Sus scrofa: one gene and its partners. The protein of the gene in region 4 binds, or shares a complex with, the protein of the main gene of each other region. Links are inferred from orthologs where the notes say so. Each region holds a gene or a part of one and is shown on either strand. Other genes may lie near its edges.

Region 1 (4,110 bases), on a different chromosome or scaffold from region 4:
GCTACAACTCTGATTAGACCCCTAGCCTGGGTACCTCCATATGCCATGGGTGCAGCCCTAGAAAAGACCAAAAAAAAAAAAAAAAAAAAAAAAAAAAACAAACTAACACATTGGAAGAAGATGGCATTTTGGGCAGCTAGGATTACAGAGAATTAGTTCTGACTTTCCAGGTATTTTATTTTTTTTTTTTATGGCCACACCCATAGCACATGAAAGCTCCCAGGCTAGGGACTAATCCCAGCCACAGCTGTGACTGACCTACATGCAGCTACGGCAACAGTGGACCCTTTAACTACACCAGGCTGGACATCAAACTCACGCCTCCGCAGCAACCTGAGTCTCTGCAGTCAGATTCTTAATCTACTGAGTCACAAGGAGAACTCCTCCAAGTATTTTATAATATGATTATGTCTGTATGTTTTTTTTTAAATAAATTTTTTTGGCCGCACTTGCAGCGTGTGGAAGTTTCTAGGACAGGATCGAATCCGCAGCATAGAAGCGACCAAGTTGCTGTAATGACAGAACTGGCTCCATCACCGGCTGGGCCACATGTGAGAACTTCTAAAATAAGTTTATTTCTTAAACAAAAAGCTTTGTTCCTGAAATTTTTTTTCTTTTACTTTTTCAGCCACACCCGTGGCACATGCAGTTCCCGCGACAGGGATCAAACCTGAGAGACAGCACCAACCTAGACCGGAGTGACAATGCCAGACAGCTAACCCATTACACCACAGGGAACTCCAAAAACAAACATTTTCATTTTCATTATGTCTAAAAATCTCTCTTTTTTGGCCCCACCCATGACATAGGGAAGTTCCCAGAAAGGGATCAAACCTGCATCACAGCAGCAACCTAAGCCACTACCACTGCAGTGAAAACACCAGATGCTTAATCCACCGCACAAGAGAACGCCTCTAAAATCTTTACGTTAGGGAACTCCTGTTGTTGCTCGGCGGGTTAAAAATCTGACATATTGCCAATAAGGATGCATGTTCACTTCTTGGCCCCACTCAGCAGGTTAAGGATCTGGCCTTGGCAAGCTGCAGCATAGGTCGCAGATGCAGCTCAAGTCTGATATTGCTATGGCTATGGAGTAGGCTGACAGGTGAAGCTCCAATTCAACCCCTAGCCCAGAAACTTCCATATGCTGCAAGTGCAGCAGTGTGTGTGTGTGTGTGTGTGTGTGTGTGTGTGTGTGTGTGTGTGTGTGAGTGCGCGCGCGCGCGCCATAGGTGTGGCCCTAAAAAGCAAATAAGACATATTTATCAGTTATCATTTACTTAAAAATAAAACATAGCATTAAAAACCAAACAAGAGGAGTTCCTGTTGTGGCTCAGCAGTACCAAATCTGATTAGCATCCATGAGGATGCGGGTTCGATCCCTGGCCTCGCTCAGTGGGTTAAGAATCTGGTGTTGCCATGAGCTGTGGTGTAGGTTGCAGACCCAGCTCAGATCCTGCGTTGCTGTGGCACAGGCCATCAGCTGTAGCTCTGATTCAACCCCTGACCTGGGAACCTACATCATACGCTGAAGGTATGGCCCTAAAAACCAAAAAAAAAACAAAAAAAAAAACAAACAAGAATTTGTCATTACAAAAACAAATATGGTATTATACGATTATTTATGTTAGTGAACATACGCCAGCATCCTTTTCTTTCTCATCCTCCTTGTCATCTTTGTCTTTTTTCTTCTCTTTAGAACTTTCTCCACTGTCTGTTTTCTCTTTGGATCTAGACCTATGAAAAAAGAGAGAAAAAGAAAGGGACATCATCTATTTGTTTTTGGAAACATTAATTAAAAAATATTTAGGGAGTTCCCGTCGTGGCGCAGTGGTTAACGAATCCGACTAGGAACCATGAGGTTGCGGGTTCGGTCCCTGCCCTTGCTCAGTGGGTTAACGATCCGGCGTTGCCGTGAGCTGTGGTGTAGGTCGCAGACGCGGCTCGGATCCCGCGTTGCTGTGCCTCTGGCGTAGGCCGGTGGCTACAGCTCTGATTCAACCCCTAGCCTGGGAACCTCCATATGCCACGGGAGCGGCCCAAGAAATAGCAACAACAACAACAACAGACAAAAAAAAAAAAAAAAAAAAAAAAAAAAAAAGCACAGGGAAGAGAGTCCGTTCCCAGCCTGCACGATCGATACAGCCAACGGCAACATTACCTATTCTCAGCTTTCTTGCTTTTATTGCCAGGACTAGAAGATCGGGATCTCCGGCCTCGGCTTCTACTCCGTGATCGTCTCCTGTCTCGACTTCGAGATCTTCTTCGATCCCGACTTCGGTCTCTCTCTCTACTTCTGGAACGCCTGAAAGGAAGACACTTTCCATGTATTCTATGACCACACGGAGCTTCTATGTCAGATCATGGTTCTACGTCATGTTGAAAGAAGCTTCTTAATTACCACCATTACTAAAGACAGAGATTTCAATTAACCATCAAATCGGCTAAAAGGAGAACAAGTAAAGGCAATTCTTAAAAGTGGTCAATGAAAAAAATGAGAATACTAATTTCAAAATGACGTTTGTTGAAAAACAGGAAACGCCAATTATAGCTGCTTGAAATCTATGTTCCTTAGCACAAAATCTAAGTTTCTCTTTTTATTTCTTTTTTTTTTTTAAAAACTAAAAATGCCACTGGCGGAGTTCCTGTCGTGGCACAGCGGAAAACAGGTTCGATCCCTGGCCTTGCTCAGTGGGTTGAGGATCCGGTATTGCCATGCTGTGGTGTAGGTCGAAGATGTGGCTCAGATCTGGTGTTGCTGTGACTGTGGCATAGGCCCGCAGCTGTAGCTCTGATTAGACCCCTAGCCTGGGAACCTCCATATGCCAGGGGTGTGTGACCCTAAAAACCAAAAATAAACAAATAAATAAATAAAAATACCATTGGCTTCTTTAACTGGTTAAAAGCACAAAATGTAACAGGCAGAAAGTCTCTTTTAAACAAATTAAAAAGCTGGAGTTCCCGTCATGGCGCAGTGGTTAACGAATCCGACTAGGAACCATGAGGTTGCGGGTTCGGTCCCTGCCCTTGCTCAGTGGGTTAACAATCCGGCGTTGCCGTGAGCTGTGGTGTAGGTTGCAGACGCGGCTCGGATCCCGCGTTGCTGTGGCTCTGGCATACATAGGCCAGTGGCTACGCTCCGATTCGACCCCTAGCCTGGGAACCTCCGTATGCCACGGGAGCGGCCCAAGAAATAGCAAAAAGACAAAAAAAATAAAAAAATTAAAAAGCTGTGGGTTTTTTTCCCACAATTCTCCCCAAGTCAGGATATATACACACTCCCAAAAATGCTGTGTGAAGGAAAATTGTCATACACAAGAAGTTATGCCCTGAATTTAAGGGAAGCAGCTGTTGAAACAGGAATTAACACAATAAAGTCAGCAACAGGTTAACAATTCAAAAAGCCTGAGTCTTGAAATGCTGCATAGCACAAAGCTATATGACATAAAATACTGCTAGATATGAAGGAAGAATTTTCTATGGCTTTTAGCAAAAATGCTTTTCCAGAAAAGCAAATCAAAACAATGCCATCAGCAGACCAAAGGAGCTACAGCTAGAGAGCAGAGCTACAACTTCTCGAATTGAGCTAGCAAATCCTATTATCCAGTAGAGACTAAAATTTTATGACAAAACGGGACATTTGTAACGTCTCTTACGTTATCCATTTTAAGTTCTCTGTTTCTTTCTCCCTCAGCCCTTAATTCAGCATGATCCAGCAGAAAGACGGCTGCTTTTAGAACTTTTTTTTTTCCCCTGTTGGGAGACTGTCATGGAGCCTCGATATTTCAGGCGCAGATGCATACAAGACCAGTGTCTCGCTGTGGTCAAAAACCTTAGCAATGGACTCAGGTGAACTCGGCTTCCTGCTGCTGCTCTGTTCTTCCACTGATGAAGGTCAGCTTCAGAGTGTATCTGTTATCAGAACTTTTGAGACTGGATAATAGCTGCCAGGTATCCTCAGGATCCATCCCTGAAGGATCTTGCCTGAGGTTAAAGGATATGATAGGATGTGCAAAGCCAAAACAGGCTTCGACTCTGGAAAGGGGTGTGTATAATCCCCAATCGAAGCCACTGTGGCAAAGAAACAAGAGACAGTACAGACAGTGAGGC
Region 2 (4,110 bases), on a different chromosome or scaffold from region 4:
GATGGGGGTTGGGGCAGGATGGGGGTTGGGGCGGGATGGGCCGCACCTCATTGTTGTGCAGTGTCAGGCACAGCTTGCACTCGTAGGAGCCCAGGTGGTTCTTCATGAAGTAAGGGTCCTGAGGGGGAAGCACAGTTGTCAGATGGTGGGTAGCATGCTGCCAGTGGCTGGGCTGAGGTACAAGGCCTGCCTCTGTTCCTGAATCCTGGCTCTCCTGCGGTTGGCACTGAGAGGGCACTGAACCCTTTCAGGAATGTCTCAACGCTGAGCCTGAAGAACCCTTAGTTGATTATCTCAGAAAATCCTGAGTTTGATCCCTGGCTTGCACAGCAGAATAAACTCCCAATGGTGAGATGGTATAGACCTGGGTGGCCGCCAGCACCTGTGAGCAACCCCCTCCCTCCCACTCAGGTGTGTATTTAAACGTGCTGCAGCATCTCAGGACCTCAGGGGTCAGATGGTTGTGGAGCACAGCCTCCTGGGGTCCACGGAATCCCTCACCTTGGGGTCTCACTTGGGTGGTTCCGCTCTTAGGGGACACTGGGCCAGCTCCGGGCATCCAGTGTTGGGGGCTCCTGGGCTACTCTAAATGCCGTGGTGCCTAGGTTGGCCCTACATGTCCACAGTGCTGTGTGTGGGGGGGACCTGTCCACCAACAGATAACTGTTGGTCTTCGCTGCCTGTGGTTGCAACGTTATTAACTCACATTGGGCCTCTGAGGCTTCACCACTGGCAATCCCACAGGCCTCTGCCTAAGTAAAGCTTCCTGTGGTAAAAACCCTTCAAACATGGGGCTACCAACAGAAAATGGTCTATGGGGGATAGCGAGAGCTGCTGTTCTAGGTCAAGTGCCCTGGTTCAGAGCAGGACCTTGAGGCCAGAGAAAATGGTGGGCAGGGCTACGGGGCCAGGGAGTACCTTGTTGATGTCGATGGTTTCCAGGGCCAGCTGCCGCAGGCGCTCCCTGCGATCCCGGTTGCTCTCAGAGGAGGAGGCCACACCCCCGCTCCCGGTCTTGCCGCCGGGGCGATGTTGGAAGTCCATGGCGAGGGCCCTGGGGGTTTACCAGACCAGGGGAGAAACCTGCCGAGGCCAAGGCCAAGGCAGCCATGAGGCTGCTGCATGTGAGACCTCGCCCTCCTGGGTTCAGACTCACCCCCACTCTGCACTCTCTCTGCCCTGCCAGCCCCTGGGCCACCAGAAGACTGGGCTGAGGGCCCACGATGAGCCATGTGCACAGAAATGAGGAATAAGGATGCCTGAGGAATGCAAAGGCCCAGAGACCCGAAGTGTTAACGGGGAAGGTGAGGCCAAGTTCTTACTTGTCTCACCTTTTCCAAGAAGCCTTCCCAGACTGCCCTAGCCCATAGTGTTCACTCCCTCCTCGTGGCTCCCTTTCTGCTTATCTACACTTTTTTTTTTTTTTTTGGCTTTTTGCTTCTCAGGGCCACACCTGCAGCATATGGAGATTCCCAGGCCAAGGGGTCAAATCAGAGCTGCCAGCTGCCAGCCTATGACGCCACAGCCAGAGCAACACAGGATCCAAGCTGCATCTGCGACCCACACCACAGCTCACACCGACATCCTCATGGATACTAGTCAAGTCCTTAACCTGCTGAAACACAGTGGGAACGGCTACACTCAATTTCCACAACCTAAATTCTTATTTTATTTTCTTTAGGGCCGCACCTGTGGCATGTGGAGGTTCTCAGGCTAGGGGATGAACTGGGAGTTGTAGCTGCCGGCCTAGGCCATAGCCACAGCAACATGGGCTCTGAGCCATGTCTGTTACCTACACCACAGCTCACAGCAATGCTGGATCCTTAACCCACTGAGTGAGGCCTGGATCGAACCTGTGTCCTCGTGGATACTAGTCAGATTTGTTTCCACTGAGCCACGATGGAAACTCCCTAAATTCTACTTCTCTGGCTCAGCTGTGCATTTGTTGGAGAGAAGGAACAAGTCTACTTACCTGCCCCCTCCCCCCACTGCCTAATGCACAAGAGATGTTTAAGATTTGTTCGCACCTGAGGAGGGCTTTCTGGAGAAAAATACTGAGTTTCTCCTCCACATCCTCGTCAGCCAGGCCCACTGCCCATTTTCCACACTTTCAGGCTCAGACCCAACCTCCAGGCACCTTTCTCTCATCTTACACTGTCCTTGGCTGGCCAGTGCTGGCCTCAGGGCCCCCTGATTTATTTATTTTTTTAAATTTTTTTATTTTTTATTTTTTTTGTCTTTTTGTTATTTCTTGGGCCGCTCCCACGGCATATGGAGGTTCCCAGGCTAGGGGCTGAATTGGAGCTGTAGCCACCGGCCTACGCCAGAGCCACAGCAACGCGGGATCCGAGCCGAGTCTGCAACCTACACCACAGCTCATGGCAACACCAGATCGTTAACCCCCTGGGCAGGGCAGGGACCGAACCCGCAACCTCATGGTTCCTAGTCGGATTCGTTAACCACTGAGCCACGACGGGAACTCCAGGGCCCCCTGATTTAAACTGGTGCTATCATGTCTCTGTTGGGGTAGGTTCCCAGGGATGAGGCCCAGGAGTGAATAAAACCCTCCAGAGACATCCCCATCCCAACCCCAGGGTGCCTGGATGAGCCACCTCATGTGGCAAGGGAGACAGTGCAGATGGGGTTAAGGCCCCTGATTTGGTGGTGATCTTGGATTCCCCGGGGGACCCAGTGTTGTTACAGGGTCTTCATAAGAGGGAGGCGGGAGGGTCAGAGGCAGAGAAAGATGGGAGATGCCATGCTGATGACTGAGGATGGAGGAAGGGGCAGGGATGCAGTGCTTCTGGAAGCTGGAAAAGGAGGAACCAACTCTCTCCTGGAGCCTCTGGAAGGCATAAAGCTCAGTGCGACTTCTGCTAAACTTGTGGTCTCCAGAGCTACATTTTTAAGTCCTGTCGTTTAAGCCACCAAGTCTGTGGTGGCTCACTGCATCGGCCACAGGAGACTAGTGCTCCGGGCACAGGCCAGCTGTACCATCTCCCTGCAGTGCAACTGATGAATTAACAGAAACCTCACATCTGGTGACCAGTGGGGTGATCTTTCAGTTGGCTGCAGAATTAACAGGGCTAGACTTTTTATTCATACAAGTCCAGCCAGGGCCTCTAACTTGTGAATCCTGTAAAGCAAGGTATGAAAGACAACAGCCATCAACCATCACCATCATCTCATAAAACAGTGACCACAAGCCTGTACTGCCCACCACGCTCAGGGCGACACTCAGGGAAGAGCACACCCAGGCGGCCTCCAGCCAGGGACTGATCACACCCGAGGGGAGGCCCTGCATCCGAGTGGCCCTGGGCCCAGCTTCAGCACCAACTCCCTGGCAAGTCAGCGCTTCACTCTCTCAGAAACTGGGATGAAGGGCCTCTTGGCAATGAGGCAGGTACAGTGGCCCTAGGGAAGCTGCGGTGAAGCCAGGCTGAACAGATGGCAAGTCCATTCAAACCTACCTACTGAACAACAGGCAGCCCCCACCCCACTGTGACCAGAAGGCAGGAGTCCCTGGTCCAGAGGAGATCAGGAGTCTTTTCTGGGAAAAGAGTGCCAGAGAAAGTATTCTTAGACTGACGGTTGGGGGCCTGCACCAGCTCCAAAACCTAGCACCTTGCCAGGCCCACTGAGTTCACTAGTTGAAAAGCACTACTTCTTTTTTTTTTTTTGTCTTTTTGCCATTTCTTGGGCCGCTCCCATGGCATATGGAGGTTCCCAGGTTAGGGGTCTAATCAGAGCTGTAGCTGCCAGCCTACGCCAGAGCCACAGCAACGCAGATCCGAGCCGCGTCTGCGACCTACACCACAGCTCATGGCAACGCCGGATTGTTAACCTGCTGAGCAAGAGCAGGGATCGAACCCACAACCTCATGGTTCCTAGTCGGATCCGTTAACCACTGCGCCATGACGGGAACTCCCGAAAAGCACTACTCTTGATGCAGAACTGCTAACAATATAAAGAGACTCAAGGAATTGCAAGTATCAGAAAACAACAACAAAAACCAGTGGAACCTCAATGAAGGAGAATAATATTCTTCAAGATCATGGGAGATGTTACTGCACCATGAAACCTGAATAGCATGCCAAGAGTGAGTTTGGT
Region 3 (4,910 bases), on a different chromosome or scaffold from region 4:
ATCTTTCTCAAGATCTGGCACAACCTGGGCAAAGATGGTTCAATGTAAATGTTTCCCTATTTGTTGCTATTAAAAGTCATTTTCTAATACTCCAAAGTAATCCATCAGGTAACTGGTACAATGCATTTCTGGGACCAAACGTCCTTTCTTTTTAGGGCTGCATCTGCGGCATATGAAAGCTCCCAGGCTAATCAGAGCTGCACCTGCAGGCCTATCCCACAGCCACAGCAACACTGGATCTGAGCCACATCTGTAACCTACACTACAGCTAGCAGCAAAGCTGCATCCTTAACCCACTGAGCAAGGCCAGGGATCGCACCTTTCATGGCTACCAGTCGGTTTCTTAACCTGCTGATCCACAGTGGGAACTCCCTGGGTCTAAACATCTTATGTATCATTCCCTAACTTAGGGCCATCGTGTTCAACTAAATCTGATACAAACGACTCAATTACCCCCCGAGTCCTCACCTAAATGGTATCACCTAAGACTGACAGGGGTCAGAAAACTTTTCCTGAATGGTACTTCTTATTTCAGACACTAAACAATAAAAGTGACAGGCAATGGACTGGACCATGGGGTCAAAAGTTAGGATGAGGGAGGCATTACCCGCTTCTGCTGCTCCAAAAGCTCATGTTCCTTCAGTGAATGATCCCCCTGCTTAAAAGAGAAAACAAGCTCATTTCAGCACCAAAATCCCACAGGCCAGTCGGCCCCAACTCTGCTCCCAGCCAGGGCCCAAGTTCTAGTCTTTGGTCCAGACCTTCCCAGAAGCCTTAGGCCCCAGGATCCGGCTCCCTCTGAGGCTCCACTTCCCATTCAGGACCCTGATGAGCCCCAGGCTCAGGCTGCTACCTGCTTGGCACGTTCCTCTTGCTGCATCAGCAATGCCGCCTGCTGCTGCGCCAGCTTTAACCGCTCTTCCTCGGACAGTGCCACAGGTTCACCCACTCGGAGAGGAGGAGGGGGGCCCAAGTTTGGAGGGCGGGGTCCAACTGCCATGGGAAAGCCAAGGCCAAGGCCAGGTGGAGGTGGTGGGGGTGGTGGAGGAGGCTGTAGAGGGGGGAGTCCCATGGGCGGGGGTGGCATGGGAATCCCAGAGAGCTGTGGGGGAAAAAAAAATGACCATTAACTGGAGGCACTGATCTACTACAAATACTTGCTGGGGAACTACAATGAGCCAGGTGCTGGGATTCAAAGTCAAACGACACACAGTTCTTGCATTCAAGAAAAAGACTACTCTTGGAGTTCCCATCGTGGCTCAGAGATTAACAAACCCGACTAGCATCCATGAGGACACAGGTTCGATCCCTGGCCTCACTCAGTGGGTTAAGAATTTGGTGTTGCCAGGCGCTGTGGTGTAGGTCAAAGATGTGGCTCGGATCTGGCATTGCTGTGGCTGTGGTGTAGTTGACAGCTGCAGCTCCAATTTGACCCCTAGCCTGGGAACCTTCATATGCTGCAGGTGTGGCCCTAAAAAGACAGAGACAGAAAAAAAAAAAAAAGGAAAAAAAAAAAAAACAAAAAACACTCCATAGCCACATCAAGAAAGGAGAATTCGGGAGTTCACATTGTGGTTTACCAGTTAAAAAACCGATCAATATCCATGAGGACTCGGGTTCAATCCCTGGCCTTTCTCAGTGGGTTAAGGAGCTGGCATTGCTGCAGGTCATAGATTTAGCTCAGATCCAGAGTTGCTGCGGCTGTGGTGTAGGCAGGCAGCTACACCTCCAATTCCACCCCTAGCCTGGGACCTTCCATATGCCACGGGTGTGGCCCTAAAAAAAAAAAGGAAGGAAGGAAATAAAGAAAGAAAAGACAAGAAAAGAAAAGAAAGAAAGGAATCAAATCAGGGAGGAAGCCCTAATTTGTCACTGAATAACATGGGAACAGTGTGCTGGGACAGCAAAAAAAGAGGTTAATTACTTCTACCTGGAGGAGGATGGGACGATCAAATTAGGCTTACAGATATTTAAGTTGAACTTTGAAGGACCTGTAGGATTTGGAGGAGCTGTCACAGCAAAGGAAGCAAAGATGAGGACCAAGGGAGAACTGAAGAGTTCCCAATTCTGTCATCACAGTACCACCCAAACTGCTGGTTGCAACCTCCAAACACACACTCCATATGAGAGGAGGGGCTACTCTGGGCAAAAAGGGATCCTAACAAGTGGGAAGACCGCCCTACCTGGGCTGACATAGGAGGGGGAGCAGCTTTGTCCCCATCTTCACCTCTCAGAACAGGCCGACTCAGGACGATGCCAGTCTGCGAAAGAGAAAGGGCTCCAGGTCAGTCCAAAAGGAGCTAGCTGTTCCGCTAAACAATGTTCGCTCGTGTCCGTTCGACAAAATTTACCCAGGGTCTGTCTGCCAGAGCTCAGACGGGGTTCTGGGGGGGGACCAGCATGTACAGAAACGATTACAACAAAGAAGACAAGAAGAGACAAAAAGAGCAAGACCTCACTCGCTGTACCGAGATACATCAAGAACGAAGAACGAAGCGTGAGGGATCACGAACCGCCTCCTCCAAAAGCTCGGCCTATCCTGACATCCCACCAACACTTACCTGGCGGGTGTAGGTCTGCAGCCTTTCCACCAGCTCCTCGCGACTCCCTGCTGGGCAAAGCACAGGATCAACGGGGTAAGGCAGGCGGAGCAGGCCCAAGTCAAGCCCCCGCCCCCCCCAACTCTTCCGCCCCCGGGTCTCCGGGGTAACCAGCTCCGCTTCCCCGCGGGCCTACACTTTCCGGCCCTTGACCACCCGTGCTCCTCACCCTGGATTGGAGCGCCGATCTCCGCTAATTTGGCCTGAAGCTCCTGAGCAGCCCAGGCACCATAATGCCCAGGAGGCGGCGGCGGCGGCAGCTGCAACTCTCCTTTCGGAGGCTCGGGATGCTCGGCCGCCATCTTAGCCGCAGGAAGGCGCGCGACCCACCCGGAAGCTCGGGCCGGCCTCCCGGCCCGCTTCCCGGAACTTCCGGCAGCGCCATACGCCACGTCCGCTCGAGGCTGGTTAGGCGGACCACCCTCTGCGATTCGTCAATGGTCCCTAGGCGGCCTGGCCGCGAAGCCTTCTGGGAGTTGTAGTGCGCAGATCACGGTCTTTGCGGGCTCAACAGGATAGGGCCTCTGGGAGGAGGGTGGTCCGTCGCAGTACCGGGAACGCTGGGGGCCGGAGCCGGGGTGGGACTGTGGGGACCGCTGGTCCGGAGCGGAGGATGTGCTTTCTGCGTCTCGCTGACCGCTGCGCAGACCTCCCCGCCTCCGGCCCGACTCCAGCTCAGGCGGGAGAGGCCCAGGCGCAGACGTTCCCGAGGACTCATTCCCCGGGCGGCCGCGCGCTGTGGGCGCCGGGCGGGAGGTTGCAGCCGATGCCTGGGATAAAACAGTGTCTGATTGTCTGCCCGCCCACTCCCGGCCCAGGCTTGGATGAATGGCCTGAAAGGGAATCGGAGCCGGAATGGAGCGGGCCCTCCGGGCTGAGCTCCAACTGCCGACCTGGGGGAAGGGCCACACTAAAGACCCTTTTTCCACCTTCCCGGCTAGCTCAAATGTCATCTCCTAGCTCAAATGTCATCTCCGCTGAGCCATCTCCTGCCGCCTTCCTTTCCTGCTCTGGAGCTTCCATAACACGTCCAAACCTCCGTCATTTGTTTTAAAGTCTTTCTTGCCCCTTATCCACACTTCCAACCCCAAAGAAATGAGTCTTGGAGTTCCCATTACGCCTCAGCAGGTTACGAACCTGACTAGGATCCCTGAGGATGCGGGTTCGATCCAGGCCTCGCTCAGTGGGTTAAGGATCCAGCGTTGCCATGAGCTGTGGCAGCTCAGATCTGGTGTGGCTGTGGCACAGGCCAGCAGCTGCAGCTTCGATCTGACCCCTAGCATGGGAATTTTCATATGCTGCAGGTTCAGCCCTAAAAAGTAAAAAAAAAAAAAAAAAAAAAAAAAAGGCATGAATCCTTTTTACTGTCTCACAGTACCTGGCGTTAAAGAGGCGCTTAATTGGAGTTCCCTTCATGGCACAGTGGTTGACGAATCCAACCAGGAACCATGAGGTTGCGGGTTTGATCCCTGGCCTTGCTCAGTGGGTTAAGGAGCTGTGGCATAGGTCGCAGACGTGGCTCAGATCCTATGTTGCTGTGGCTCTGGCGTAGGCCAGTGGCTACAGCTCCAATTAGACTGGGAACTTCCATATGCTGCGGGTGTGGCCCTAGAAAAGACCGGAAAAAAAAAAAAAAAAGAATCGTCTTTATGGCGACAGGATAAACTCAGGCCCTTTTCTTTCCTCATCCCTAGCAGCCTACTGGCGCAGCTGACCCTGCCTGGTGCTCCCCTGCCCCACCAGTGGCCTGTGCCCCTTATGTGTCCGCCTTCACGTCTCCCTGTCCTAACTACTTCCTGCCTTTGCCACTAGCAGTGAGGTCCCTCTCCCATTCTAGCTCTGCTCTCTGACAGCCAGGCTTACCTCGCGCGCGCGCACGCGCGTGTGTGTAGGTCTCATTATCCCCATACCCCTACACTCCTCAGATCTCTCTACCATGCCCTATTTCACCAACCATCCCCAAGAGGAATACCTGGGAGCAGGGAAAAAAGAATGAGACGTCAGGTCCAGGGAAGGTGAGATTTAGGAGAGACAAAGTAAAGGACTGGGCCACGAAGCTTGCTTACATCCTAACCCTGGCTAGGAAATTCTCTTTGCTCCTGCCCGAACCTGGACTCTTCCCTTTTTCATCACTACCACCACCCCAGTCTCCTGACACTCCCAGAAAAGACAAACCCAAAAAGGAAAGAACAGTAGTGCCTTCCTCTCCAGCCTGTCTGCCCAGACAGAACCATTCCTGACCCAAAGGAAGTGTCCTCCTGGTCCCTTTTACTGGAAAGCCACGGCAGGTCATCTGAAGCCAGGGGCCTC
Region 4 (4,110 bases):
TAAGTAGATGAATATGGGAACAAATGGAAGCTGGACAGGAATGAGGAGAGATTCGGGCAAGTTAGAAGTTATCTTGGTGACAGTGATAGCAGTGAGAAGGAGAAGGAAGAACAGATTCAGGAAATACTTTAGAGATAGAAAAGACTATGTTCTCTATTGTTCTGTGATTGTCTGTAGCCTCAAATAAGTAACTTAGGCAAATGCCATAAAACCTTTGACTTTTTCCTTTATGGTCAGGGAATGAGTTCTGACATGAAGGCAAGAAGTTCCCTTTGTTCTGCAAAAAAGAAAACCTGATCTGATCCTTGGAAGTGAGAGATCAACAAGAGTTGCAGGAAAATAAATTTCCTCCCTCTTTTTCCTTTTGGCTGCACCTGTGGCATGCGAACGCTCCCAGGCCTGGGATCGAACCCACACCATAGCAGTGACAACGCCAAATCCCCAACCCTTAGGCCACTAGGGAACTTGTAAATTTTCCTTCTTGTTCTGCACTATTCTCTGACTTCCCTTTTCATTTATGGATCTGACTTAGGAACAGCGACATCTCACTCATGAAAATGTACAGCGCAAGCAGGCAAGAACCGGAGAAGAACGAGAAGAGGAGGAGGAGGAGCAGATCAGCGAGAGTGAAAGTGAAGATGAAGAGAATGAGATTATTTACAACCCCAAGAACCTGCCCCTTGGCTGGGATGGCAAAGTCAGTCCAGACACTCCCGTATTCCTTGTTTCCTGTTTTGAAAGCAGATGCAGACACCAGCCTAACACTCCTTCTTCTCTGATTTCTCTTAGCCCATTCCTTACTGGTTGTATAAGCTTCATGGCCTGAATATCAACTATAACTGTGAGATTTGTGGAAACTACACCTACCGGGGTCCCAAAGCCTTCCAGCGGCACTTTGCTGTAAGGAATTCAGAGCCTTTTCTCCTGGATGTTAAAGTATGAAACATACTTTAGAGAAGTCTTTTAGAGAAGAGGGTAGGAGCAGCCTGAGAGGATCACTGGTGTCCAGAGTGCAAGAGAATCAGCGAAGGAGTGGCTCTAATGTCCAGCATGTGGCATTTGGCCTCGGGACCAGGGCTAGCCTTGGGTTGTACCTGAGATGGTTCTGGAGGTGTTCTACCACTTGGCTATCTGAACCTCATTTCCTTTTGCACTTGCTCGCTCTTCAGTTCTCTCTTTTTGTGTCTCTGAATCCTTGGTCATTTCTCTGTCCCGCTGTTAGTATTCAGGACCAAAGAAGGGACTGACCATCTCCTTTGGGTCCTGAAAGGGCCTTTGCCTCTTTAAAAAAAGAAACGAAGAGATTGACATTTATCAAGCTCTTCTTGAGACAAGGCATTATCTAGGTGGTACCCCAGTAAGTGGATTCACCCTTGTTTAGTTTCCGCCTTCAATTCTTATACTTGGAAGGAAGTTTTACAGAATGAAAGGCTTGCTTAATGTAGCCTAGGATAGCGAATTTCTATGACCTCTCTCTCCCTCAGACGTACATATTACTAATTTGTCCTGGGTCTTTCCTGCCAAGCTCCTGAATAATCTCTGAATCTTTCTGAACACTACCTCCATTGAATTGGAATTGGTCTCCTGGGCCCATGCCATTTGTAGTCCCTGAGCCAAAACTGTCCCTGTATCAGTGTCTCCCTGGTCTCTTTCATATACTTGGTTATACCTGATAAACAATCTTCTCCTTAATTTCCAGAGATAACACTGACCTGCCATCAGTGTTGGCTACTCAGGCATGTTGGTAGCTGGGGTTGCATGGGATGTTATTGATAAGTTAAAGTCTCCAAGAGAGGTTTTGTCTGGATCTAGGGCCTAGGTTTTATAAACCAGCTCAGTGAAGCAAACTATGCAACGCTTTGACGTAACTGCCTCTGATCAGTCATAGCAGCAGTCTAGAGTCAGGAACCACAAAGGAACGTTGCCTTTAGGTGGAGCCTTTTAGAAAGGGTCAAGGTGGCGTTTATGAGCACAATGGAATTAGTACTCTGTGTTCAGTCAGTCCCGTTTTACATTGTTCTCTTCTTTTCACGCAGGAGTGGCGTCATGCTCATGGCATGAGGTGTTTGGGCATCCCAAACACTGCCCACTTTGCTAACGTGACACAGATTGAAGATGCTGTCTCCTGTAAGTAAGCTTTATTGTTCCCTGAGCCAGCCCTCTAGTTTACTGTCCCAATACCCTGGCCTAAGGGCAGCAGGGTGTGAATGTGTACAAACTACTCCAATTGTACAAGCTGCATTTTGAGGGGATGAATTAGCCAGCAGTACTGATTGTTTCCCCCTTGGGAAGTGTTCTGTGCTGAGGATAAAATGGTTTTTAAGTGGGTTCTGTGAACTCCCCTGTATGCAAGATTTTGAGTAAATGAGTATGTATATTTTTCTGAATTGACTTTACTGTGTTAAGAACTACAGACATGGAGTTCCCACTGTGGCACAGCTGTTGCAGCTGTGGTGTAGGTCACAGATGCAGCTGGGATTCAATCCCTGGCTCATGTTATACCATAGGTATGGCTGAAAAGCCAGCAGAAACAAAAAACTACAGATATGAAGGAAAAAATTAAAATGGTCTCAGCAAGCTTATTTCTTTTTTCTTTTTTTCTTTTTTTTTTTTTTTTGTCTTTTTTGTTGTTGTTGCTATTTCTTGGGCCGCTCCCGCGGCATATGGAGGTTCCCAGGCTAGGGGTTGAATCAGAGCTGTAGCCACCGGCCTACGCCAGAGCCACAGCAACGCGGGATCCGAGCCGCGTCTGCAACCTACACCACAGCTCACGGCAACGCCGGATCGTTAACCCACTGAGCAAGGGCAGGGACCGAACCTGCAACCTCATGGTTCCTAGTCGGATTCGTTAACCACTGCGCCATGGACGGGAACTCCAGCAAGCTTATTTCTGAGCTGACAGGACAGGTACACAGCAACATGGCAGCAAAATACCTCTTAGAGAAAAAGCCAAGTGCCGCACGTGTCCGGGAATTTTCAAGTGCGAGTCAGGCTTCCTGTTTACCTGGCCATGGTAGCTTTTTCTGCCATTAGCCTCTTCTTCTCAGGCTTCTTGTTTCCTTTCTGGTTCTTCTCTTCTCTGTCATATTTTCACTTTCAATGAGTTAGACTGTGAAGAAAAGGATTTTACCACTCCACTTTATTAAATTTCAGGCTCTCCCTCCCAGATGTATTTATCACACTACTTGGCTACTTGGTCAACTAACTTCTTTGGCTCCCAACTCTAAGGTTGTTGAAATCATCCAGGGCAGAGCTAAATAGAAATGACCTTCTAAAGAGCTCCCTGATCCCTGACTTAATCTTTGGATCCTGGGGACTTTTTCATTGCTTTTGTGTGTGGGTGCAGTCAGCTTTAGGAACTCCTTGCTGTTTTGTCTTTTCTTATTCATTTGCAAGTCAGGATCCTACAGTTCTGCCAGTCAGGATTATAATGCATCTTGTCATCAGATTATCCAATTAGCTTCTTCAGTTTTTGCCCTTCATTTTGTTGGGATAAAATTTAAATATTAGGAGTTTCCTTCGTGGCTCAGCAGCAATGAACCCAGCTATCATCCATGAGGATGTGGTTGCAATCCCTGGCCTCGCTCAGTGGGTTAAGGATCTGGTGTTGGCTGTGAGCTGCGGTGTAGGTTGCAGATGCGGCTCGGATCTGGCGTAGCTGTGGCTGTGTTGTAGTTGGCAGCTGCAGCTCTGATTCGACCTCTAGCCTGGGAACTCTCACAGTATGTGCAGGTATGGCCCTAAAAATACAAAAAAAAAAAAAAAAAAATTTAAGATGGTAATGAGAGTTCTCTGGTTGTTCAACACCCCCTGCCCAACAATAGTAATGAAATTTCATAGAATGACAATGCTGCATTTTGAATGTAATCTCATTTTTAAATATATTTTCTAGCTGCATATTACTAATTAGTTCATTTTTGTGTGTATTTTCTTATGTCCTGCAAATTGTCTGTTACTTTTACTTCTTTTTTATTTTGGTCTTTTTAGGGCTGAACCCATGGCATGTGATGGTGCCCAGGCTAGGAGTCAAATCACAGCTGTAGCCACTGGCCTATGCCACAGCAACACAGATCCCAGCCATGTCTGCGACCCACACCAGAGCTCACAGCA
Region 5 (4,110 bases), on a different chromosome or scaffold from region 4:
TACAAATTTGTTACATTAGATTTAAGTCACTTCAATAAGTAGAAATAAAAAGAAAAATGAAATCAAATTGATGGATCTACCTTTCCTCTGTGTTGGCGTATACCTTTCCATAGAGGCTTTAACACAGAATCAAAAGACTCGATACCATAAGGAGTTGCTGCTTCAGCCAAGGCAGCAATGGCCAAAGCACTAATGGTCCGTACTTTCTGCTGCTCATCCACAAGACCTATAAAAAACCAAACACAGGTTTCCACTGAGTAACTTTACCTAGTTTCTATAATATCAAGATTCTAGCGATACACATAACAACTTAAGTCAAACTGAAGCTGTTCATATTAGACAAAGTTAGACCAAAGCCAGTATGAACCACAACCTATGAGCAGCTACTATTAAAAATCCCATCATAAACTATATGGTGTTTAGGCAGTTCACTTCCATTTCTCGCTCCAAAATCTGTAGCCTAAATTTCAAGAAATCTGTCTTATAAAAAACAAAGTTATAACACAACTTACCATGTTCAATGATTTCAACTAAACTTCTGAGATGAGGCAAGATGGCACAGCCCATAAGAATAGCTATCTGCTGTACAATCTTAATACCAGTGTGCCTAGCTTGCCAGGACTTCTTGCTTTTGCACACAGCTTTTAAGAAGGGCAATAAGGATGGAATGCCCAGCGCAGAGGCTACAACAGCAAAAGCTCTAGCTGTTGTGTTACGGACATACTCATCCATGTTATCTATATCAGGCCTCATGGTAGAGATCATAGTAGCCAGACCAGCAGCCTAAAAGTTTAAGAAAAAGCACAGTTATGAGTTGATAACATTACCCCCCAAACAGTTCCTTCTATAATCAAATAATCCCATCAACTAATATAAAACTTTCTTCTCCAGAAATATAAATACCTTTGCCAAATTAGAAATAATCTCTCGGCCTTCCACTCTAGCATAGTAATCTTCATCAATCAACAATGGTTCAATGACCACTAGGATCTGAAAAAGAGAAGCTACACTGTCACACCAATTACTGATGCAATACTCATGGGACAGAGTACAGGAAATTTATACTGGCCAAGAAGTTGTTAATCAAGGGATAAATTAGGATTTTAATCACATAATTTCAACCCCACATAAAGATGAATATTTGAGAGAACTGTTAACCATATAGACTATTTTTTTTTTTTTTTTGTCTTTTTTGCTATTTCTTGGGCTGATCTCGCGGCATATGGACGTTCCCTGGCTAGGGGTTGAATCGGAGCTGTAGCCACCGGCCTACGGCCTACGGCCTATGCCAGAGCAACGCGGGATCCGAGCCGCATCTGCAACCTACACCACAGCTCATGGCAACGCCAGATCATTAACCCACTGAGCAAGGGCAGGGACCGAACCCGCAACCTCATGGTTCCTAGTCGGATTCGTTAACCACTGCGCCACGACGGGAACTCCAACCATACAGACTATTAAACACACACATATACACACACACCTGTCTGAACTTACAATTCTAAGTCATAATTACTACCAGCAAAAAATGGTTCTTAGCACTAAGTGGCACAGTAGAGAAACACATATTTTCTCATCCTAATATCAAGAAAAGCAGATTTTAAAATATGAGTAATATGAACCCAACACATAAGATGGCAAAAAGTTACATCTATTTATGTATATATTTGTACATGTGTGAGGCATGCTTGTGCAAAAAGAAAAAGATCTGGAGGGTATGTAAATTTAACACTGGTTACTGAATAATTTTAAAGAGGCTGAAATTTCCCCTTTTAGTATAAAAGTACGGAGTTCCTGTCATGGCCCACTGGTTAATGAATCCAACTAGGAACCATGAGGTTGCAGGTTCGATCCCTGGCCTTGCTCAGTGGGTTAAGGACCTGGCATTGCTGTGAGCTGTGGTGTAGGTTGCAGACATGGCTGGGATCTTGCCTTGCTGTGGTTCTGGCATAGGCCAGTGGCTATAGCTCCGATTAGACCCCCAGCCTGGGAACCTCAATGTGCCACGGGAGCGGCCCTAGAAAAGGCAAAAAAATAAAAATAAAAAAATAAAGGTATACCATCAGCTATTATTGTTTTAGAGTTTTAAATTTTCATAAATACATCTAATAAGCTGGTTAAAAAAAAAAAGTCCACAAATTCCTTTTATGTTAAAAACACCAAACCATTAGAAACACAAATTGAAAACAAACCTTGTGCACATATGGGCGAACTAAATCATCAAGTTTGTATAATATTCTATCGATAACTTTCACAAGCAAATGACGTTCTTGATCCTCAAGTGTAGGAGACATCAGCAGAGGAAGAATCTGATTAAACAAAGGACCAGCTCCAAACTCACGAGCTTTATCAGTAATCTGACGCAATGCAGCCTGGAGAAAAAAAAAAATTATAAAGGCATGTTTCTTTATAATAAACATTTTGCATAAGCAAATTAGTTATTCTATGGTTTTCTCTAACTAGTGGAACGAAGTTTATTCCCATCAAAATTATTCTGAAGTTTGAACTCCTATAATCAAAGCTCAAATGTTTTCAGTTAATTCAAAAAGGATAACAGAGTAAGAGTGTAACATAAAACTCAACTTCCCCTAAAGAATCAATCATCTTCAAGCCACATATAATACTAATACAATTCACAATGCAATTCAACTATAATAAAAAAAAATTTTTTTAAATTCTGATACAATTCCCTCAAATAATTCCAGTAATTACCTTAGACTCTTCAGGCTCTGAGGATAAAATGGAGTATCTCTAAGACTACATGACGTGATGATTTAATAAACTGGTACTTACCTTTCTCATGGGAGGTGTTCCATTCTTAATTTTTAAAAGCAACTTCATTATTTTTCTCTCTTTTTGCTCTTCTGGACTAAGGGTTGATTCATCAACATCAACCTAATAGGAAAAAGTAAAAAATTTAAAAGGTAGGTGGAGATTAAGATTTTTAACAACTAAATAAAAAGTAACACTTTTTAAATCAACTATAATTTAAAACAGTAAACCTTTTTTAAAAATTACTATTTTATCTCTGCTATTATCACTTACCAAGAGTTTATCAAAGTACTGAATATCATCAGGTTTTAAAAACGGAAGATTTCCAGATGGCTGGTCATTAACACTTTTCATAGTTCTATCTTCAGTTTGCATGTGGAAACCAGTCATACCACCCAAAGGTGTTGGAGTTGCTGTCAGCTTTCGAGCTGGAGTTCGAATAGGAACATAACCAGCTGGAGGAGGAAGCACCTAATAGAATTAAAAGACGGTTTAGGATTTCCTTAACTTTATAAAGAACAACATAACTGAATAATATTTGCACTTAGGAAGCTTTTTGCTTAGAGACAAGAATTAATTAACATTGACTTGACTTTTCTGTCTTCATTTTAAAATATGACAAATATTAATATTTCTTATTGAATTTAAATTAACTTTATCAGAAGTGTGGGGGAATGAAGAGATACACAGAGTAGGCTTATGAAATTCTCATCACTTTCAAACAATCTATGTAAACGTGTTACTGAGCCAATGTCATAAATGAAAATAAGCTCACAGTGCACATATATAATGTATAAATGTTCATATTTTAATAAAAATTAGAAATCATTCATATAAATCTCTGCATCATAAAAGCAAATCGCTACTTAAGTTGCCCTACAAAAATGAGCTGACTGCATAAACACTAAAACCAAAATATTTAGCAAAGCCCTGTAAAATACACACCGTTTGACTAAACCCCAAAAAATTCACTACAGATTCACAGAGGATTTCCCCCTCCTACTGATAAAGAAATCAATAAATGCAATTAAGACAGACACCCAGGTAGTTGATAGTAGGCTCCTGACTACGCCCACAGCATTACATGGAGTCTTTAAATAAGTTATAAAGCAGTAATTCCATGCATACTTAAAATAGACACTCTAATGCTAACTGAACAGGGGGGAGGGGGGTATTACATACATACCAACTGTTAAAGAGCAATAGGTATTAGCAGAAAAGGCTCTGTATGTAAAGGCCATCAAATGACTTAGGTTTCAGCCCTAGTATAACCTCAGCTACATGACCACCTTTTGATCAGCAAAATGTCCCTGAGAACAGGCACCTAGAGAATTTTAT
Region 6 (3,765 bases), on a different chromosome or scaffold from region 4:
TAGCCACCAGCCTACGCCAGAGCCACAGCAACGCGGGATCCGAGCCACGTCTGCAACCTACACCACAGCTCACGGCAACGCCAGATCGTTAACCCACTGAGCAAGGGCAGGGATTGAACCCGCAACCTCATGGTTCCTAGTCAGATTCGTTAACCACTGCGCCACGACGGGAACTCCCAGACATTCTTTTATAGAAACAAACACAAAATACTTTAGCCTGTTTACTTTAACAACTATCAGCCTGTTTTCATTTCTTAAAGTTTTACCGAAGAGTATAACTATACTTGCTGGGTTTTGTTTTCTTAACCTTTACTTCCATTCTTTCCTCTGACTTCCACCCCAAAGCAGTCACCTACATGCCAAGTCTAGGCTGCTCCTTATCTTGTTTGATCTTTGCTATTCTTGAAACTGGCCGTGTCCTCCTGTTTGAAAATCTTGTCTTTTTTGGTTTTTATGGATTCTCTTTCTCTCTGAATCCTCAATCTCAGCCACCTTAATAGGCTCCTTTTTCTCAGCTGAGGTTTTTGTGTCTGGCTCTCTTTTTTGCACAGTCCCATTGTTTGTACACTGATGCCACCTAGATGGGTGGCTGTTCCATGGGTATTAACATTCCATACCCTTAATCTTACTGTTTAATGGATGACTACTTTTTTTTTTTTTTTTTGTCTTTTGTCTTTTTGTTGTTGTTGTTGTTGTTGTTTTTGTTGCTACTTCTTGGGCCGCTCCCGCGGCATATGGAGGTTCCCAGGCTAGGGGTTGAATCGGAGCTATAGCCACCGGCCTACGCCAGAGCCACAGCAACACGGGATCCGAGCCGCGCCTGCAACCTACACCACAGCTCACGGCAATGCCGGATCGTTAACCCACTGAGCAAGGGCAGGGACTGAACCCGCAACCTCATGGTTCCTAGTCGGATTCGTTAACCACTGCGCCACGACGGGAACTACTGGATGACTACTTTTATACCCCTGCCCTTCAACCTTATTCTTTCTCTAGTAGTCTTAGTTTTCAGGTGCTTGATTCAGAAATCTGGGAGCTATGTTTGACTCTTCCCTGTTACCCCACTCTTTTTTTTTTCTGTCTTTTGTCTTTTTAGGGCCGCACCTGCGGCATATGGAAGTTCCCAGGCTAGGGGTCTAATTGGAGTTGTAGCTGCCAGCCTACGTACGCCACAGCTGCACCAACACCAGATCTGAGCCGCATCTGTGACCTACACCACAGCTCATGGCATCACCGGATCCTTAACCCACTGAGCAAGGCCAAGGATCGAACGCACAACCTTACGCACCATGACAGGAACTCCACCCCACTCTTAATACCAAGTCTTATTAATACCTCTGCCATCAGCCCTCATTGTCAGTGCCCTAGTTCAGGCTCTCATATCCTCATTATTCCACACCTAATTTATTGTAGTAATTTTCTGACACTTTGACTCTAATTATCTCTACCTTCGATCGACTTTCAGTGAGTAATTTTTCTAAAATATAGATGTTCACACACCCTTGCTCAAAATTCTTTTGCTCCCTTTTACCTATCGAGTAAAGGCCAAACTTGTTAGCATAGCAGTTCTAGGTTTGTCATGATCTGGCTCCTCATTGTTCCCACAACTGCATTCTCCTGATTACCGACTTACTGGTTTTCCTATAACATACTGTGCTTTTGGACGTACTTGTGCTTTGCACGTGCTAATCATTTTGCCTAGAATGTTCTGTTCCCACTTGTTGTCCCCCTGAAAAATTCCTCTTTATCCTTCAGAATTGGATCTTGGTTCAGGCAGTATCTCTGTTACCTTCTCAAATCCTATTCAATAGCATAATCGTTCCATTTGTTACATACTTCTGCAGCACTTGTACAGTGCCTAAATCATGGAAGGAGCCAGCTGGGTGGTTGGGAATTGATTGGATCATAGGTTGGTTGGTTCTCTTGCTTGGAGTCAAGGATAAGGGCACTTTTTACCAGCCTTATTTTCCTTACTCTTTTCTTTCTCATTTTCTTTGCCCCCTTGTCTGATTTTCTTTTGTCTCCTTTGTGTTTGTGTCTGTTTTGTTCTCATAGGGATGTCTCAGATGCAGCTGGCCCACCATGGCCCTCATGGCTTAGGACACCCCCATGCTGGGCCCCCTGGCTCTGGAGGGCAGCCACCACCTCGACCACCACCTGGAATGCCTCATCCTGGACCTCCTCCAATGGGCATGCCCCCTCGAGGGCCTCCATTTGGATCGCCCATGGGTGAGTAGGTTCTGGCCACCTCTCTTGTCCTCATGTGTCATATTCTTGCAGCTTCTTTAGTCACACCTCTTATCCCCTGTGTGTTCTTTCTTTTCATTCTTGTATTTCTTTTCACTGTTTGCTTGTCTCTCCTCTTCCTTCACTGTCCCAATGTTTTGTCCTATTTGTCCCAATTATCTCCTAATTGTTTTTACTAAGTTCGTTCTTTTCCTGCAGGTCACCCTGGTCCTATGCCACCACATGGTATGCGCGGACCTCCCCCACTGATGCCCCCTCATGGATACACTGGCCCTCCACGACCTCCACCATATGGCTACCAGCGAGGACCCCTCCCTCCACCCAGACCCACTCCCCGGCCTCCAGTTCCCCCTCGAGGCCCACTTCGAGGCCCTCTTCCTCAGTGATTTCTCACTGTCTTTGCTCCTGTTATGTCCTCCCAATATCTTTTCACTTCCTTGGACCAATCAGAGTTGCTGTAGCTCGCAGGGGCTAGGGCACTAATCCCTCTCAGGCCTTTTTTGTAAGTGTAATTTTTTTTCCACAGGAGGTTTTTTTTCCCCCTCTATGTTGGTCCGAAGTGCTTTGCAAATGCACAGAGAAAATAAAACTTAACTCCTTGTTTATTCTTTGTGGTGTTTTCCTTGGCAAAACAACTTCTTTTTCTCTAATAAGAGGTGTCAGTCTAATAGGGAAAGACTGGTAAGGTCAGAATAAGGGTGTTTACTCCATGGTTTAAAGGCTTATTCTGGGAGTTCCCATTGTGGCTCAGCAGGTTAAGGATCTGACATTGTCTCTGTGAGGGTGTGGGGTCTATTCTTGGCCTCACTCAGTGGGTTAAGGATCCAGCATTACTAAGCTGTGGCGAAGGTCGCAGAGGTGGCTCAGATCTGGTGGTGTCATGGCTGTGACATAAACCCCAGCTGCAGCTCTAATTCGACCCCTGGCCTGGGAACTTAAGCATGCCGCAGGTATAGCTGTAAAAATAAAATTAAATAAGTAAATAAATACAGACTTATTCTGTAATGTGCTGTGGTGGTTGCTGGACTGCTGTGTACTACAGCAGTTATTTCTTTACATTAAACTTACCCATAAGATGAAGACCCAATATCTGTGATAAAGGATTATTGTGATTATTGTGACTATTAAGTGAGAACAGAATTAAAGTTCCTGAGGTAATGCTGGCAAAAATATGAAGTAACATGCACAAAGCTATTCATTGCAGCACTCTTTGTAATAGTAGCTTGAAAACAACCCACTTATCCATCAGTAAGGATCTGGTTGAATAAATCGGTAAATCTATACAATGGAGTACTGAGAAGCAGTTAATAGAAATGAGGGAAATTCTACTTAGCTGTTTTGGAGAGATCTCCAGGATATAGTAAATGAAGAAAGTAACATGCAGAACAGAATGTATAGTGTGCTTCCTTATCTAAGGGTTGGCATGTAATATACACGCTTGTCTATATTTTTATTCTATTTTCTTTACATTTTAGGGCTGAACCTGCCCCATGTGAAAGCTCCCAGTCTAGGGTCAAA
Region 7 (3,854 bases), on a different chromosome or scaffold from region 4:
GACTGGGAATCCCCTCAACCCAACCCCAATCTAGGCACTCCAGGCCATGCCATGGGCAGCACTACGGGATCACAGACCTTGTTTCTGCGTAGGAACTCTTCCTCAGGCATGAGACTATCTTCAGTCTTTAGTTTCTTGGAGGCAGGTTCATCTTCCATGGGAGGTGGGGGATGGACAGGTGGCATTGGGGCTGGGGCTGGGACAGGTGCCACAGGTGGTGCAGGTACAAAGGCTGCAAGGGCAGGAATAAACAGCCACATGAGTAGAGGGAAGGGGCCCAGAACTCAGGGCTGGTGAGAGGAGATTGCAAAGGTTTCACATTTCTCTCATTCAGAAAGTTCCCTTGCAGGGGAACCTGGGAAACTGTCCAGACTGGAGAGTAGGAAAGTAAAGGAGAAGCAGACTGACGGATGGAGCAGGAACCAGAAAAAACCAAGTATGGTCAGGCCTTTGTACCTGTCTGGACGTGACCCCTCTGGGTACAAAGAACCCACTTCTGCCATATCAGCCTCTCTTCCAGGAGCTACAGACACCCAGATCAGGGATCTCTTACATGGCCAAGTTAAGGCTCTCCATTGGGATGGACTTAGAGCTGGAAGAGCTGGCACTACCATCAGCCATTGCTCTGCTCAGTATTTGGTCTAAAGTCCTGACACCGGCCTGAAAATGACATGAAAGACACTGACCTGTTGGCACAATCATGGGTGGTGGGCGGGGTGCCATAATAGGAGGGGCAGAGGGAGGCATGGGCACCACGTTGATTCTGGGCGCATGGATGATGGGTGGCATAGGGGCGATCACCGAGCCAGGGGGCAGTCGGACCACTGATGCCATTGGGGGCCGGGGCATGACAGGTACTGCAGACACAACTGTGGTACGGACAGGAGGCGGCATCTGTGGGGGAAAAGGGACCCACAGGTCACAGGAATCCAAGACTGCACACCAATTGGCCATCTGTGGCCTTTGAGGATGGGGCTGGACAGCTTCCACTCAGCGCCCTGGGACTGAAAGCACAGCTTCACATTGGGGCTGACAGAAACTATGCCGAGAGGCCCAGGGCGACACTCTTTACACTTGGGACTTGATCAGCTGCTCATGGCAGACAATACAAGTCATTAAAGAGACTGACCTCAACATAGCCCCCTGGAGCAAGGTCAGCAGTCCAAGACCTGCTAAACCTTCCAGCCCTTCTCTGACCCAAGCCTGCTTCTCATATTTGCCACTCGCATCCTTCCCTGCTCCAATCTTCCCACACAGATGGAAGCCCAGGCTGGAGGCTCCCACCTCCAATTAAATGGTTCTTCTCTCAACTTGACCCACTCAGCACTTGGGTCTGCTATAAGATAGTTATTCTTTTTAGCCAGTGGTATCTAACCCCAAATACCCAGCTCTAAAAGACCAGTCACAAGATGGCTGCTGGCTAACCGCAGGGGGCCGGGGCACCGAGGTAATGGGTGGGGCTGAGCTGGGGATGTTGGTGGCTGAAGACGGAGGTGGTGGCTGCTGAGGGATTTCATTGGGCTTGCTGGGGCCAATCTTCTCTTTGGTATCATCTTCTGGCACCAAGCCCTTAGCCTTGTGGATGGCCTCTATCTGCTCCTGGAGGGTGATATTGGCCTGGGCAGCCTGCTGGGTCCGGGCCATGCTACCAGAGTGGCCATCCCAGGTCACCTGCATGGGAAAGCAAAGCCACAGCTTGTCAGGGCTCCTGAAACTAAGCCAAATGTGGGACTGTGATGGCAGGTAAGGCATTAAGATTCATCTGAGCTTCACCTTTTCCTCTGGCTTTTGGATCTCCTCCTCACCGATCTTCTTACCAATGGCTGTTTCCTCTACACCAAAGATGTCGGTACGCCGCTCGGCCAGCTGTTTCAAGCTACTCTCAATATCCAGACCTGGGTGTAGTCACAGAACAGAAGAAGGGGACAGAAAGGGAAATTAAACCAGGTGCCCTTCCAACAACACACAGCCTTACTGGTTTAGGGTGGAGGCTGTTCTCATGGGGCAAGGCTGTCTCTGGCTCCCAATGCAGCATGCCTATCATCTGAGCCTGGGGAAGGCTGCCCAATCAGCACTAAGCCTGTTAACCAGGGCCTGGCCAACCCCTTGACTTACAAAAGTCAACTGAGAAGACAGGGTCACATGAGTGGCAAGTAGCACAGTTAGGACAAAAAGCCTGGCTTTTGCCTCTGGGTGTTTCCTCCCTCCCTATTGTGCTGCTTTGCAGTCAAAGGACCAACATGTCTCATTTCAAGGACCTCAGTATACTCCAGCTATCAGAACTATGACAGCCCCAAGAATGAGCACCCCTCCTGACTATAGTCAGATCTTGCTCTAGGATGTCAATGGGCACATATGATTTATATCAGGTAACTGCCTAGGGAGAGTCCTAGAAAATGGGTCCCTTTTACAGTTTCAGAGGCTGTACCTAACCTCAAAAACTTTTGTTGACCTTAGTTGTTATTCTTTATGTTTGATCAAAGCAAGTTGACTGCAGTTTAGAGATCTCCATGGGCCACAGTGAGTTGGGGCTGAGTCAAAGAAGAGGTGTGGACCTAGGAGGGGAACCCCCACCTCACCTGGTGCATACACCTCATCATCACTCTGCTTCTCACGGATGGAGCGATCTCGCTGCTCCAGCCAGCGGGGGTCAAGAAGCCCAATGCGCATGTGTTCCTGCATTTTGCTGGCAGGGATCTTCTCCCCAGTGATGGGGGACACAAGATATTCATCTGGAGCTGGGGCTGGAGGCAGGGGCTTGGAAGCTAAAAAGCAACAGAGACACTTGAGTAAGAACACTAGGTGGCAGACTTCATTAAGAGGGTGCCATTTCTTTTGTGCACCATCCATTCAGTGCCTCACTGTACCTAGCACTGTGCAATGTGCCAGGACACCAACAACAACTAAGTCCCATTTCCCATCATAAGGACATGATAAAGGGGCTATCAATGTCTTTATGACAAGCTACCTCTAGCCCTCCTGGAAATGGACACACTGAGGAACACAAGAGGAGGAAAGCAGAACCTACCTTTGGGGTCATAGTCCTTCCGGACAATGACTTGGTCTGGGGTCGGGGGCAGAGGAGGTGGCATGGGTGTCTCCGGAGGTGGTGGCACTTTCTGCCCTTCCTCTTCATCATCTGAACCCTGAAAAGCAAAGCAGTGGCAAGACTTAGAGAGGGACCGAGAAGCCACCTCTCTGTAGCTGAGCCTTGGCGGCTCTCAGGTGGCAAGAAGCCTAGGCCCCTGCCAGCCAGCATCTATGTGCTAAGCCTCCCAGGGCAGCTGAGGCCAGCCGGCAGCTGGCCAAGCCGCTTCCTCACAGCATGAATGGGAGTGCTGGGGCAGTGGTGCTAACACTCCGCCCAGGCATTTCCAGCAGCTGGCACCAGGCAGTCCCAGGAGGCCAAGGGCACTTAACATGCTGGGGAGGGGAGCAGGGGGCAAGTCATCGCTCAATGGTAGTCGCTCAAGGAGCAATGCTGGGAGGGAGAGAAAACGTCAATTCCCACAAACACAGGGGCCTTTCTTCTCAGGCTGCACATAAATTCCTTCCGAGAGGAGAAAAGCAGCTTGGCTCTGGTGACTCTGTGCCTGCCTGGAGGGCCTGGCTCGAAGCAAATAGAGGCAGCCGAAAGGAAACACAAGCTACACTTAGAAAAGCTCTGGGAACTGCTGATCATTTGGGTGTAATCTCGAAAACATCAAAGTACGAGGTGCAGAGGGTTCCCTAACTGAGAGCTGGCCTGGGGGTGGTAGCGAGCAGGGCATTTGGGCAAAGGAGGAAGGTCACAGAATAGGGCCAGCACAGCTTTCAGATCCTTGCTGGTCAATAAATCTTTGTTGTCTGAACTG

What was found.
Region 1: SF3A3 (region 4) and DDX46 share a complex: the UniProt entries of both Homo sapiens proteins name them as parts of the 17S U2 SnRNP complex. The link is inferred for Sus scrofa from reciprocal best matches to the Homo sapiens genes SF3A3 and DDX46.
Region 2: SF3A3 (region 4) and SF3A2 share a complex: the UniProt entries of both Homo sapiens proteins name them as parts of the SF3A subcomplex of the 17S U2 SnRNP complex. The link is inferred for Sus scrofa from reciprocal best matches to the Homo sapiens genes SF3A3 and SF3A2.
Region 3: SF3A3 (region 4) and SF3B2 share a complex: the UniProt entries of both Homo sapiens proteins name them as parts of the 17S U2 SnRNP complex. The link is inferred for Sus scrofa from reciprocal best matches to the Homo sapiens genes SF3A3 and SF3B2.
Region 5: SF3A3 (region 4) and SF3B1 share a complex: the UniProt entries of both Homo sapiens proteins name them as parts of the 17S U2 SnRNP complex. The link is inferred for Sus scrofa from reciprocal best matches to the Homo sapiens genes SF3A3 and SF3B1.
Region 6: SF3A3 (region 4) and SF3B4 share a complex: the UniProt entries of both Homo sapiens proteins name them as parts of the 17S U2 SnRNP complex. The link is inferred for Sus scrofa from reciprocal best matches to the Homo sapiens genes SF3A3 and SF3B4.
Region 7: the proteins of SF3A3 (region 4) and SF3A1 are in contact, whole or in part, in an NMR structure (PDB 2DT7), measured with the Homo sapiens proteins. The link is inferred for Sus scrofa from reciprocal best matches to the Homo sapiens genes SF3A3 and SF3A1. Residues at the interface, in NP_006793.1 of Homo sapiens: Glu80, Phe81, Glu83, Phe84, Tyr85, Arg87, Leu88, Ile91, Lys92, His95; in NP_005868.1 of Homo sapiens: Ala161, Phe162, Asp165, Val166, Leu169, Thr170, Phe173, Asn177, Phe181, Gln184, Leu185, Lys188, Phe195.

The regions. Positions count from the first base shown.
Region 1 is NC_010444.4:136,978,906-136,983,015, reverse strand, and holds part of DDX46 (probable ATP-dependent RNA helicase DDX46), read right to left. Parts: exon of another isoform or gene 3,144-4,110; intron 2,306-3,143; coding exon 2,162-2,305; intron 1,738-2,161; coding exon 1,641-1,737; intron 1-1,640. UniProt on the Homo sapiens protein: Component of the 17S U2 SnRNP complex of the spliceosome, a large ribonucleoprotein complex that removes introns from transcribed pre-mRNAs.
Region 2 is NC_010444.4:76,407,575-76,411,684, reverse strand, and holds part of SF3A2 (splicing factor 3A subunit 2), read right to left. Parts: intron 1,613-4,110; exon of another isoform or gene 1,454-1,612; intron 1,084-1,453; 5' UTR 1,045-1,083; coding exon 919-1,044; intron 119-918; coding exon 47-118; intron 1-46. UniProt on the Homo sapiens protein: Component of the 17S U2 SnRNP complex of the spliceosome, a large ribonucleoprotein complex that removes introns from transcribed pre-mRNAs.
Region 3 is NC_010444.4:6,290,694-6,295,603, forward strand, and holds the start of SF3B2 (splicing factor 3B subunit 2), read right to left. Parts: upstream 2,958-4,910; 5' UTR 2,903-2,957; coding exon 2,770-2,902; intron 2,612-2,769; coding exon 2,562-2,611; intron 2,262-2,561; coding exon 2,184-2,261; intron 1,103-2,183; coding exon 854-1,102; intron 659-853; coding exon 608-658; intron 1-607. UniProt on the Homo sapiens protein: Component of the 17S U2 SnRNP complex of the spliceosome, a large ribonucleoprotein complex that removes introns from transcribed pre-mRNAs.
Region 4 is NC_010448.4:93,955,568-93,959,677, reverse strand, and holds part of SF3A3 (splicing factor 3A subunit 3), read left to right. Parts: intron 1-532; coding exon 533-697; intron 698-789; coding exon 790-900; intron 901-2,036; coding exon 2,037-2,127; intron 2,128-4,110. UniProt on the Homo sapiens protein: Component of the 17S U2 SnRNP complex of the spliceosome, a large ribonucleoprotein complex that removes introns from transcribed pre-mRNAs.
Region 5 is NC_010457.5:101,285,827-101,289,936, forward strand, and holds part of SF3B1 (splicing factor 3B subunit 1), read right to left. Parts: intron 3,244-4,110; coding exon 3,046-3,243; intron 2,896-3,045; coding exon 2,794-2,895; intron 2,373-2,793; coding exon 2,193-2,372; intron 991-2,192; coding exon 904-990; intron 784-903; coding exon 513-783; intron 227-512; coding exon 81-226; intron 1-80. UniProt on the Homo sapiens protein: Component of the 17S U2 SnRNP complex of the spliceosome, a large ribonucleoprotein complex that removes introns from transcribed pre-mRNAs.
Region 6 is NC_010446.5:99,126,367-99,130,131, forward strand, and holds the end of SF3B4 (splicing factor 3B subunit 4), read left to right. Parts: intron 1-2,055; coding exon 2,056-2,229; intron 2,230-2,445; coding exon 2,446-2,633; 3' UTR 2,634-2,852; downstream 2,853-3,765. UniProt on the Homo sapiens protein: Component of the 17S U2 SnRNP complex of the spliceosome, a large ribonucleoprotein complex that removes introns from transcribed pre-mRNAs.
Region 7 is NC_010456.5:47,315,111-47,318,964, forward strand, and holds part of SF3A1 (splicing factor 3A subunit 1), read right to left. Parts: intron 3,147-3,854; coding exon 3,029-3,146; intron 2,766-3,028; coding exon 2,580-2,765; intron 1,896-2,579; coding exon 1,774-1,895; intron 1,672-1,773; coding exon 1,426-1,671; intron 895-1,425; coding exon 687-894; intron 233-686; coding exon 78-232; intron 1-77. UniProt on the Homo sapiens protein: Component of the 17S U2 SnRNP complex of the spliceosome, a large ribonucleoprotein complex that removes introns from transcribed pre-mRNAs.